3 linked regions of the Sus scrofa genome follow. The protein of the gene in region 2 binds, or shares a complex with, the protein of the main gene of each other region. Links are inferred from orthologs where the notes say so. Each region holds a gene or a part of one and is shown on either strand. Other genes may lie near its edges.

Region 1 (3,747 bases), on a different chromosome or scaffold from region 2:
TTTGAGGTTACTGGCATGTAAAACCCTCAATTCAAGGTTCCAATGAGAATTACGTTTTTTTGTTTGTTTGTTTGTTTTAATTTTTTTGTCTTTTTAGGGCCGCACCCTCGGCATATGGAGGTTCCCAGGCTAGGAGTCTAATCGGAGCTCTAGCCCCCAGCCTACGCCATAGCCACAGCAACGCCAGATCTGAGCTGTGTCTGTGACCAACACCACCGCTCACGGCAGCGCCGGATCCTTAACCCACTGAGCAAAGCCAGGGATCAAACCCGCAACCTCATGATTCCTAGTTGGATTCATTTCCGCTGCGCCACAATGGGAACTCTGAGAATTACGGTTTATTGAATGTTTGCTCTTCACGAAATAACATTTTTCACATGCGCACAATGTAGCTTAATTATGCTACTCAAAAGGCAATGATAAAACATAAAAAAAAAAAAAAAAAAACAGGGAGTTCCCCATCGTGGTACAGTGGAAACGAATCGGACTAGGAACCATGGAGTTTCAGGTTTGATCCCTGGCCTCGCTCAGTGGGTTAAGGATCTGGTGTTGCTATGGCTGTGGTGTAGGCTGGCAGCTGTAGCTCTGATTGGACTCCTGGCCTGGGAACCTCCATATGCCGTGGGTGTGGTCCTAAAAAGGACAAAAAGACAATAAATAAATAAATACATAGATAGGAGTTCTTTCTGTGGTGCAGCGGATTAGTGGTATGGCTTGTCTCTGTAGAGGCGCTGGTTCAGCATTGCTGCATCTGTGGCATAGGTCGCAGCTCCAGCCTGGATTCAGTCCCTGGCCCAGGAACTTCCACGTGCAGCTGAGAAAGAAAAAAAAAATTAACCGCTAATTCAGCTTGCATCACAGGCACTGTGGACCAAAATGGGCTTGGAGTTTAGTGACAGGTTTCTAGGTCTGGTCAGTCACCTGGGGGCCACAGAGACTCCGGAGGTAGAGGCCCTTGAATTAGGTCCAGGTCTTGGACCAACCCTTTGCTATCTCTGTGCACTTCAAGGACTTGATCGGCAGTATTTGGGGAGACCCAATGAGTTACCGATGAGCTCACACCAACTTCCCGCCCAGGGCGGAGGTGAGAAGGACTGCGTAGCCCTTAAAAGAGAAAAACAACTTCCACAGCACTTCCTGTCCCATATTCTCTGGAAAGGGGTGGCCAACTTCTCATAGGCAGAACTAGACTCGACCTCGCCCCTCGAAGCCCCGCCCACCAAGAGGCTCCGCCCCAGAGATGGGCGTTCCGTCCGAGTCCCGCCCCGTGACTGAGGCCCCGCCCCCCGGGCCGCTTGGGCCTCTGCGCCCGGCGTCCGGCGGAGGCGCTAGAGCGCTGGGGCAGCGGACGGGGCGGGGCGGGGCGGGGCGACGAGGGGCGGAGCGGGCGGCCGAGGAGGCGGGGCGGCGGGCCGGGGCGGGCCGGGCCGGGCCGGGCGGAAGGAGAGCCAGGCCGGAAGGAGGCAGCGGGAGGGTGGGAGGCAGGAGCGGGCCCGGAGCTGCTGGGCCAGAGCGGCGGCGCCGCCATGTCCGACAGCGAGAAGCTCAACCTGGACTCTATCATCGGGCGCCTGCTGGAAGGTTGGCCGGGGCGGGGGAGGTGGGCGCCCGCCGCGCCCTGGCCCCCTTCCCGGCCCGGAAGTGGCGCGCGGGTGGACCTGCCCCTCCCAGGGCCAGCTTAGACTGGGCGGGGACGGGCCGCGAGGTCCCGTGGCCGTGGCTCTCCCCGCCAAATCGCGGCGCGCCTGGAGGTCTGGGGTTGTTCCCCGCGCTGGAACAGGGCCGGGGCGCATGGGTCGGCCTGGGCTCTTGGGGTGAGGGAGAAACCCGAGAAGCCTAGCCACCCGGGAAGGGGTCCTGCGCTATCAGGCTTTGGGTGGTAGGGCCCCTGCGCACAGCAGTCCCCTCCCAAGTGCCTTGAGGGTAGTTGGGGTCCGGTCCCAGGAGGCTCAGCAGCAACAGCTGCCTCTGGGCAAGGAGGGGCCCAGGCGCCCCAGAAGTGCTCATGAGGGCCTGTGTGTCACCCACCCTCTCCTAGTCTCAGGGACCAGGGTCCTGACGCTCCTTCCACCCTCAGTGCAGGGCTCGCGGCCTGGAAAGAATGTACAGCTGACAGAGAACGAGATCCGTGGTCTGTGCCTCAAATCCCGGGAGATTTTCCTGAGCCAGCCCATCCTTCTGGAGCTGGAGGCACCCCTCAAGATCTGCGGTGAGCCCCCTGCCCAGCCCCTTTGCTTCCTGGAAGTGGTTTTGGCCCCTCTAAAGTCCCTGGATCCCAGCCTTATCCCTGGGTTCAGGTTTAGACTGAACCTAGACCTGACCTGGTTCCCTGGGTCCCAGGTGACATCCACGGCCAGTACTATGACCTTCTGCGGCTGTTCGAGTACGGCGGCTTCCCTCCAGAGAGCAACTACCTGTTCCTGGGGGACTACGTGGACCGGGGCAAGCAGTCTTTGGAGACCATCTGCCTGCTGCTGGCCTATAAGATCAAGTACCCGGAGAACTTCTTCCTGCTCCGTGGGAACCACGAGTGTGCCAGCATCAACCGCATCTATGGCTTCTACGATGAGTGTAAGTGCCATGGGTGTCTGGGGCTGCCCGGGTCCTAAAGGGCTCTCCTGGCCATTCAGAGGGACCCTCGAGTTGGCCTGGCAGCTGGGGTATCAGTGTCTGACAAATACCTGCTAGACTGAGCTCCGTGAAGGCAGGGCCGGGCCAGGCCAGTTCAGGTCTCTCCACCTGCCCTCCTGGCATGGGTCCTGGCACTCAGGAGGGATCTGGTGAATGGGTGCTGGCTGCAGGGCTGCCCGTATTCTAATAAGGGCCTTGCCCAGTGACACTCCCCTCCAGCGCATCCGTTACTTAAGCACTTAGGCTGCCTGTCTGGACTGGACTCTGTTTGCCAGAAGCAGAGATAAACAGACCTGGTCTTGGCCTGGCCCTGCTCATGTGCTGCAGGTGGGTGCCAACCCTGAGGTTGTTCCAGAACTGGAATGCTGGGGTTCCTGGAAAGCTGGTAGGCAGTGGGATGGGTTTCCCTTCCTTGCCCTCTCTGCTTCCCTCCCAGCTGTGTCTGAACAGCACATGATGTGCCCTGCAAGGCCCAGGGACCCCGGCTGAAGGTGGGGCAGCCAGGCCTTCTCACGAGCCACCTCCTTCCTCTGGGCAGGCAAGAGACGCTACAACATCAAGCTGTGGAAAACCTTCACTGACTGCTTCAACTGCCTGCCTATCGCTGCCATTGTGGACGAGAAGATCTTTTGCTGCCACGGAGGTGAGAGCAGCTCTGGGGCCCGCGCTGGAGGAGTGCTTGGGAGGGACGAGCCTGGCCCCATCCCGGGGGGCTTGGGGACAAAGGCATCAGCTGCAACAGTTCTCCCCCGAGTCGTTTCTTCCATGAAGTCCCCCCGCACCCTCATGTCAGGCTGTGCTGTCAGGTCGTGGCCACAGCTTCACACGTGGAGTTTGTCTCCTTTCTCCAAGGAGCCCTGTGCTCCTTGAAGAAACAGGGGCTACGAGAGGCAGAAGGTGGCGAGGTCTGCCTGTCATGGCTCCCAGGAGACCACGGAGGGGTGGGGACAGAGGCTGATCGGCAAGGCTTCCCGGAGGAGGCAGGGGCCTCGTTTTGAGGCTCAAGGAAGTGATCTACCTCCTGTGCTCCCCAGGCCTGTCCCCCGACCTGCAGTCCATGGAGCAGATTCGGCGTATCATGCGGCCCACAGACGTGCCTGACCAGGGCTTACTGTG
Region 2 (3,647 bases):
CCGAGCCACTGCAGTGACAATGCTGGATCCTTAACCCTCTGCGCCACAAGGGACCTCCCAAACATATTTGAATCCATCCCTTAACATGGCAGCTATCACACTTACATTTGCAAGGCAGCTATGCTCACCACTATCACCAAGGCCACTCACTCTCACATTTGAATCCTAGGATGTGAAAACCGTAATAGTAGGGGGAAAAAACTTTTTTTTCTTTCAAAAATCCCAATAAATCATTTTCATTTCAGGGTTAACACTGGACATTTTATAATTTAAAAAATTTTTCAAGTAAAATTGATTCAGATGATAAATCTCATTTATTCAGGAGAAATGAAATCTTTGTTGGTGAGCCTGAGCCAGAAGAATGAGAAATAAGTAATATCCTGAATGTAGTGGGGAACAGAGTGTCATTTATATCCTCCCTTACATCAGGCCTTAATATGAGCGTGGGTAAGCCTGATAACGTCTTGCCCCTTACCATGGTCAAGCCCCCACTCAGGAGCCCCCCGCCCTGCTCCATCAAGCCATGGGTCATGCCCACAGGCATGTCCAATGTCTGGACCCCATATTGGGCTGAAAAGCTGCCATCCTGAGAGGAGGAAGGGTCTGCCAGGTCATCAAAGTGTCCAACCACATCCGAGACAGCCAGTGAGGGATCAGAATCCAAGGAGATGGGTGGGATTTCAAACTCCTCATCGCCTAAGCTTGGTGTATGGAACGTCTGCAGGGAGGAGAAGAGAAAAAGACTTAGTGGGAAGAGGAGAGACTGCATACTGCTAAGTTAAGAACATGGCCGAGCACTGGAGATTGTCAGCAAACCTCTTTTCAGCCTAGATCCTATTTTTGTTATCAGTTTCTTAGGACTTATTTATTTTTACAAATAAGTCTCTCCTCTTCTTTATATGGTTGGTACATACAAGGCTGCCAACATCAATCACAGTTTTCAATTCTTTTATCTCTTTTCTACCTTCACCATGTTGATTGTAAGGACCTACCCTTTATAACCTGTTTAGCTATGATGCTTAAATCTCTCTAAAGATTCTAATAGACAGCAGGTATTTCAAATGTACTGTGTCATCACACAAACTGTCAACCACACAATTATAGTTTGTTGCTCTAGGTTTCTTTGAAACAGATCCTAAAAGGTACCGTCATGGGAAACTTACGCCCCTCTAAAAGATATACACTTAAGAATCTCCTACCTCTTCTCCATTTTAGAAATCATGATGTCAACAACAAATAAAACTCCCATTTGTACAAGATTTTCGGAAAACCCAACAATGCCAAGGTAAGGATAATAGTGAGAAAAACATTCGTAAGAGATACAGCCAGAAGGCAAACCGGTTCTCTAACTGTTCCCAAACACATTCCTAGTCTTGCTCTGAACAAGCCTTTCTGCAAGAGAGGAAGAAAAAAAGAGATTACTCCAGCTGGAAGACCCAATCCCTTCCTCTAAGTCTAAGTACAATTTAATATCCTCTCTATCCTGAATGAGGCCACCATTCATGGAGCTAAGAGACATACGTCTGGCCTAAAATAATAATAAATGCTATGTTCTTTTTTTTGGGGGGGGGGCCTGCATCCACGGCATATGGAAACTCATGGGCCAGGGATAGAACTCGAACCTCAGCAGCGACCCAAGCCACTACAATGACAACACTGAATCCTTAATCTGCTCTATCTCAAGAGAATTCCAATATCGCTATTTTAAGTGTTTCTAGGAGTTCCCATCATGGCTCAGCGGAAATGAATCTGACTAGTATTCATGAGGACGCAGGTTTGATCCCTTGCCTCGCTCAGTGGGTTAAGGATCTGGCCTTGTTGTGGCTGTGGTACAGGCCAGCGGCTACAGCTCCAATTTGACCCCTAGCCTGGGAATCTCCCTATGCCGTGGATGCAGCCCTAAAAAGACCAAAAATAAATAAATAAATTTTTCTAGACGGAGTATTTCCAGCTAGTAAAACTAGGGAGAAAGAATGTCTATGAAATGCCCAACTTCTCTGAATCACATTGGGAAACAAGTCTCCTAGAAGAAAAAAATATACGGATATAGCTTCATTTCTTTATTTTCCTCCTCTAAGAGCCTTACTATCTTACTCATCATGTTAAAAATTTGGGCTATAACAAGAGGGGAACATAAAGAGCATAAGAGCAGACAATTCTTGAAGAAAAACTAAAACTCTCCCCAAGAACTTAACTTTTCTCAGTACACAGCTCATAATTTTTGTTATTATGTGGAAGTTCTTAACTTCAGGTCCATGACTCTTTCTGAAATTTCCTTTAAGTTTATGTCAGCATTTTTCAGGAAGGGAGTACAAAGATTTTTACCAAATTCTCATGCAAACAAACAAAGTTACAGGAACAAGAGAAAGGATCTGGGGAAATATTTATTGTTCTAGATTAAAACTTGTATAATAGTGGTTTACAGTTTTTAAGAAGATACAGGTTGCTTTGGTAAAGCAAAAGATAACTATCCTTTTCTGCTTACCACAATAAATAAAAAAGCAACTCTGCTGAGATATGAGAATGATACTATTTGTTTATGAGAACTGAAAAAAACTCACATACAAAACAAGAGAGGATTGTTCAACAAAGGGCTAGCTAGCCTTCATAAAACATCTGGAGTTAATTCCATTGTATCAAATTAACAAGGCATTATTTATGGGCATTTTTTGGGGGGGGATTTTGTTTGATTCTTTTTTTTTTCTTTTTAGGGCTGCACCTGTGGCATATGGAGGTTCCCAGGTTAGGGGTCAAATTGGAGCTGTAGCTGCTGGCCTACACCACATCCACAGCAACACAGGATCCGAGCCACATCTGCAACCTACACCACAGCTCTTGGCAAGGCCGGATCCTTAATGCACTAGCAAGGCCAGGGATTGAACTTGCGTACTCAAAGTGCAATGGGTGCTAGTCAGATTCGTTAACCGCTGAGCCATGACGGGAACTCGTTTGTTTCTTTTTCTTAAAAAAGAAGAGTAAAATAATGACAGGGATCAAGAATACAGAAGGGAGTTCCCACTGTGAAGCAGCAAGTTAAGAATCTGGTGTTGTCTCTGAGGTGGTGCAGATTCTATCCCTGCCCTGGCACAGTGAGTTAAGGATCTGGTGTTGCTGCAGCTGTGGCATAGGTTGCACTGTGGCTTGGATTTGTTCCCTGGCCAGGGAACTTCCATATACTGTGCGAGTGGCCAAAATAGAAAAAAAAAAAAAAAAAAAAAACAAAAAACAGAAGGGTAATAAGCCACATGCTAGAATGGAGATCTACTCCAAATCTTTTACCACAAATAATCTGTAAGATCATGGGTAAAATCCAATAATGAAGTTACTTTTAGTGGATTTACTACATAACTAAATCATACTCTAGACTGTCAAATATAAAATAAAGAAAAACTAGGAAATATTAAAGTAAAAATAAATGATTTGAACACAGAAGAAGAAAACAGGAACATGATGCTGCTACCTTCCCACTTAGCTTTTGTTTCCTTCTCTCCTAGAGAGGAAGCAGTTTGGGAATTACAGTTTGTTTGTTTATCTTTTTATTTATTTGTCTTTTTAGGGCCACACTCATGGCATATGGAGGTTCCCAGGCTTGGGGGCAAGTCAAAGCTGCAGCTGCTACAGCTCATGGGCAATGCCAGATCCTTAAC
Region 3 (3,747 bases), on a different chromosome or scaffold from region 2:
ACACCTACCTGGTCACAAAGCAAAACTAGAACCCAGGTCTCTTATCAAGCCACTCTCTTACCACAGACCACATGAAACAGGTCACAATTAATCCATACAACTTTTAAAGAGCATACTGTATACTACTGTATAAATACCAAATTCCCTAATTTGGATAACTGTACTCTGGTTACCTAAGAAAATGTTCTTGTGCTTAGTAAATTCATGTTGAAGTGTTGAGGGATAAAGAGCCTTAATACCTCCATATTACTGATGATTCAGACAAAAATGCATATATAGACACACACATATAAACAAACATTCACATGGATAATGACAAAACAAATGGGGCAAAATGTAACCAATTATTGGATCAAGTGGGAGGTCTCTGAAACAATATGGTAACTTTTCTGTAAGTTTGTAATTATGTAAAATGCTACCTGAATGAATGAACTGTATTATTTATAAAATTAACATTTTACTTTTAACAAGACAACACTTCAAGTCGATGTCATTTCTACAACCAATCAGTGGAAAATATGCCATATTTGGAGACATACTGTGAAGAAATGCTATCACCATCTTCATTTCCTTTAAATGAGGTAGGTATACATCTCTATCTCCAGGTTCCAAGGAGAGGTTCTAATCTGTGCACAAGCACTAAACATTTCAAGCAAGTCAACTTCAAATTACTTCCAGCTCCAGGACTCCAAAACTCCAATCCCCAGCTTTATAGGTTACTCTCTCTTCCAGGCTGCTGTAAGTGGCCAGATTTGGACAGAAATGAGTAACATTGACTTGAATCACTCAGCATCGGTCCAGCTAACAATAACAACCCTTTTCTCAGAACCACCACTATAGGACCCTCTTCCACATACTTCAGGCAGATCCTGAAGCCAGTAACATAAGACTTTTTCACAATACCAGCAGGAAAGTTATAAGGGGGAGAAATTATAGCTCAGCGCCATACAGCTTTAATTCACAAGTGAAGAAACAAGTTCCAAAAATTTATAGAAGACATCAGTTTAAACAAAAATAAAAAAGACAAAAGGAACAGAGAAAAACTCAAGGATTCAAAAAATAAGATCTGGAACTAGATAGCAAAATGAAGTCTGAGAAAACCAGTAGCCTGCTTTAAAACCAAACATCCACAAGCCTGCTTGGGGAAGATGGCTGAAGGGAAATCAAATTTAGCCTACCTAAACCAGCTTCTACTCCAAAGGAACTCACAATTTAGCAAGGACTACATGCGTGAGGCAAAGCGGACAGGTGCACAGGGAAAAAAGCAAAATGCGGTGCTTTCAAGATTTTGCAGAGATACAGGTGTGATGAGTCTCCAGAGGACTTGGGACAACCTACAAATGTCATGGTCTAACTAGGAATTTTGCTAAGTCCAAGTAGACCATAAAGTGTAACTTTAAAAGAAAGTGTTAAGAGGAAACATGAAATTGTTAGACGATGCTTTCTTTGTTCTACTGGGAGGTTCACATTCAGGTCAGGACTGGACCGCCAAGTTTGTACGTGTCTGGCAAAAAGGAAAAGTTTCAGATGTTGTTAAAAAGTTAACTATAAACGTAGGCTTCGGCACTGAGGGAGTAAGAGAACTATTTGGAACAGAAAGGAAAAGAAAGAGGGCCCAAAGAGGCACAACAAATAAATCCTGACAGCTAACAACTGCAACCCACGCGGCCTTCAGGCAGAAAGGCGGCGGGAAGCTGAGGGGCAGGGGATGGGCGGAGTGCCAGGCCTGAATCGAGGTCACCATGGAAAGGGCAGAGAGAGGGAGCTGCCGCTGCTGAATGAGGCAGCAGAGCAACCTCTGCAGTTCCGCGCGGGGGCCACAGCAAACCGGCACCTTCGAGGGAGTCGGAGGGGCGGAAAAGCTACCAGCTGAGGCCGCGGTGGGCGGACCGGGCGTTTAAAGGTCAAGGTCAAGGTGGGGTTCGGCCAGCGCTGCAAAAGCGCTCGCTGAGAAGGTCGGGGGCGGGGAAAATAAATACGATTATTATTATTATTATTGCTATCCTTATTTTCTAAAGAAAGAAAAAGGTCTCCTGGACAGTTTCGGAGTGGACGCGGTCCTGGCAGGAGCGTGTGCAAAACAGGCAGGGGGCCGGGCGGAGGGCGGGCCTCCGGACTAGCACTGGGCCTAGACGGGGATGGCGGGAGGGACTCAGACCCGAGCCCAAGGCCACCGCCGCACTCACTTGCCCTCCTGGCAGTCATAGAGCACGATGGAGTCGTCGTCGCTGCTCGAGATGACTGTCTCGCCGTTAGGGCTGAAGTCGAAGCAGTTAATCTTGTCCGAGTTCTCGCGGAACACCTTGGCGACGCGGAAGCTCCGCAACACGCTGTCGGTCAGCTTCATGGCGGCGGCTGCTAGAGGCGGCGGCGCAAGGCCGGGGCGGGGCCCGGCGGGCGGGCGGGCTGCCGAGGGGCCGACCGGGGCAGGACCGGCGCTGCGCTGGCGGCCAGAGGGAGTGCGGGCGACAGTCGGGCCACCTACTCCTCTTCCTCCGCCTTCTCGGGCAACACTCTTCTGTCTGAACTGTGGAGCCTTGCCGACCGTTCCCCCTCACAATCACCTCAGGACCAACAAGCGCGGCACCGGCTCATTGTGTCCGCCATCTTGGGGCGACAGGCAGAAGCCGAGGGCGAGGAGCCTCACCGCGGCGCAAGACGGGAAAGGGGGCGGGGCGAGAACGGCGGCGCGAGGCGAGGCGGTGACGTCAGCGCGGCCGGCAGAGAGAGTGGTGTGGCTGGGTGGCTGGGTGGCGGGGTGGCCGGAGGCGACGGTTCCCGGAACTGCTGCTGGGCGGGATGGGTGGGGACTCCCAAGTCCTTCCCACCGGAGCCCCAAGGTCTCTGGTGCCCGTGAGGCAAGAGCCTTTGTGCTGAATCGCAACCCGCCGCCGACACTGGGGCGCCCCCTGTAGGCCTCCCCCACCAAAGGGCGAGTGAGAGCAAATACTGCCCCTTGGGCTATCCCCCAGGAGGCTTGTTCTTGTTTTCGTGGGTTTTTGGTTTTTTGTTTTTTTTTGTCTTTTTAGGGCCACACCCGGGGCGTATGGAAGGTCCCAGGCTAGGGGTTGAATCAGAGCTACAGCTCCCGGCCTGCACCACAGCTACAGCAACACCAGATGCGAGCCACTCTGTGACCTACACTATAGCTCAGGGCATTGTGGGATCCTTACTCCACTGAGAGAGGCCAGGGATTGAACCAGCAACCTCATGGTTCGTAGTCGGATTAGTCAACCACTGAGCCACGAGGGGAACTCCCGTTCTTTTTAAATTGAGGTGTACTACACGGTAGACTGCATAATTTTTTTTTTTTTTTTTTGTCTTTTGTCTTTTGTCCTTTTAGGGCCACACCCATGCCAATGGAGGTTCCCAGGCTACGGGTCTAATCAGAGCTGTAGCCTCCGGCCTACGCCACAGCCACAGCAATGCCAGATCCAAGCTGAGTCTGTGACCTACACCAGAGCTCGCGGCAATATCGGATCCTTAACCCAATGAGCAAGGCCAGGGATCGAACCCGCATGGTTCCTAGTCGGATTCGTTTCCGCTGCACCACGACGGGAACTCCTAGACTGCATAAATTTTGTGGATGAATTTTTTTCATTTGGCTGAATTTTTTTTTCATTTGGCTATACATTAATGTGATCATCACCCAGGACTTTTCTTCAAACCTTCTTTAAAAACCTTTAAATCGTTATAAGTGGGTTAAATGAACTAATTTTAAGTGTTCAGCTACACACATTTTTATAA

Evidence for each region.
Region 1: TOX4 (region 2) and PPP1CA share a complex: the UniProt entries of both Homo sapiens proteins name them as parts of the PNUTS-PP1 phosphatase complex. The link is inferred for Sus scrofa from reciprocal best matches to the Homo sapiens genes TOX4 and PPP1CA.
Region 3: TOX4 (region 2) and WDR82 share a complex: the UniProt entries of both Homo sapiens proteins name them as parts of the PNUTS-PP1 phosphatase complex. The link is inferred for Sus scrofa from reciprocal best matches to the Homo sapiens genes TOX4 and WDR82.

The regions. Positions count from the first base shown.
Region 1 is NC_010444.4:5,118,711-5,122,457, forward strand, and holds the start of PPP1CA (serine/threonine-protein phosphatase PP1-alpha catalytic subunit), read left to right. Parts: upstream 1-1,491; 5' UTR 1,492-1,526; coding exon 1,527-1,581; intron 1,582-2,077; coding exon 2,078-2,209; intron 2,210-2,340; coding exon 2,341-2,571; intron 2,572-3,169; coding exon 3,170-3,274; intron 3,275-3,665; coding exon 3,666-3,747. UniProt on the Homo sapiens protein: Protein phosphatase that associates with over 200 regulatory proteins to form highly specific holoenzymes which dephosphorylate hundreds of biological targets.
Region 2 is NC_010449.5:77,688,868-77,692,514, forward strand, and holds part of TOX4 (TOX high mobility group box family member 4), read right to left. Parts: intron 719-3,647; coding exon 476-718; intron 1-475. UniProt on the Homo sapiens protein: Transcription factor that modulates cell fate reprogramming from the somatic state to the pluripotent and neuronal fate. In liver, controls the expression of hormone-regulated gluconeogenic genes such as G6PC1 and PCK1.
Region 3 is NC_010455.5:34,409,521-34,413,267, forward strand, and holds the start of WDR82 (WD repeat-containing protein 82), read right to left. Parts: upstream 2,671-3,747; 5' UTR 2,348-2,670; coding exon 2,187-2,347; intron 1-2,186. UniProt on the Homo sapiens protein: Regulatory component of the SET1/COMPASS complex implicated in the tethering of this complex to transcriptional start sites of active genes.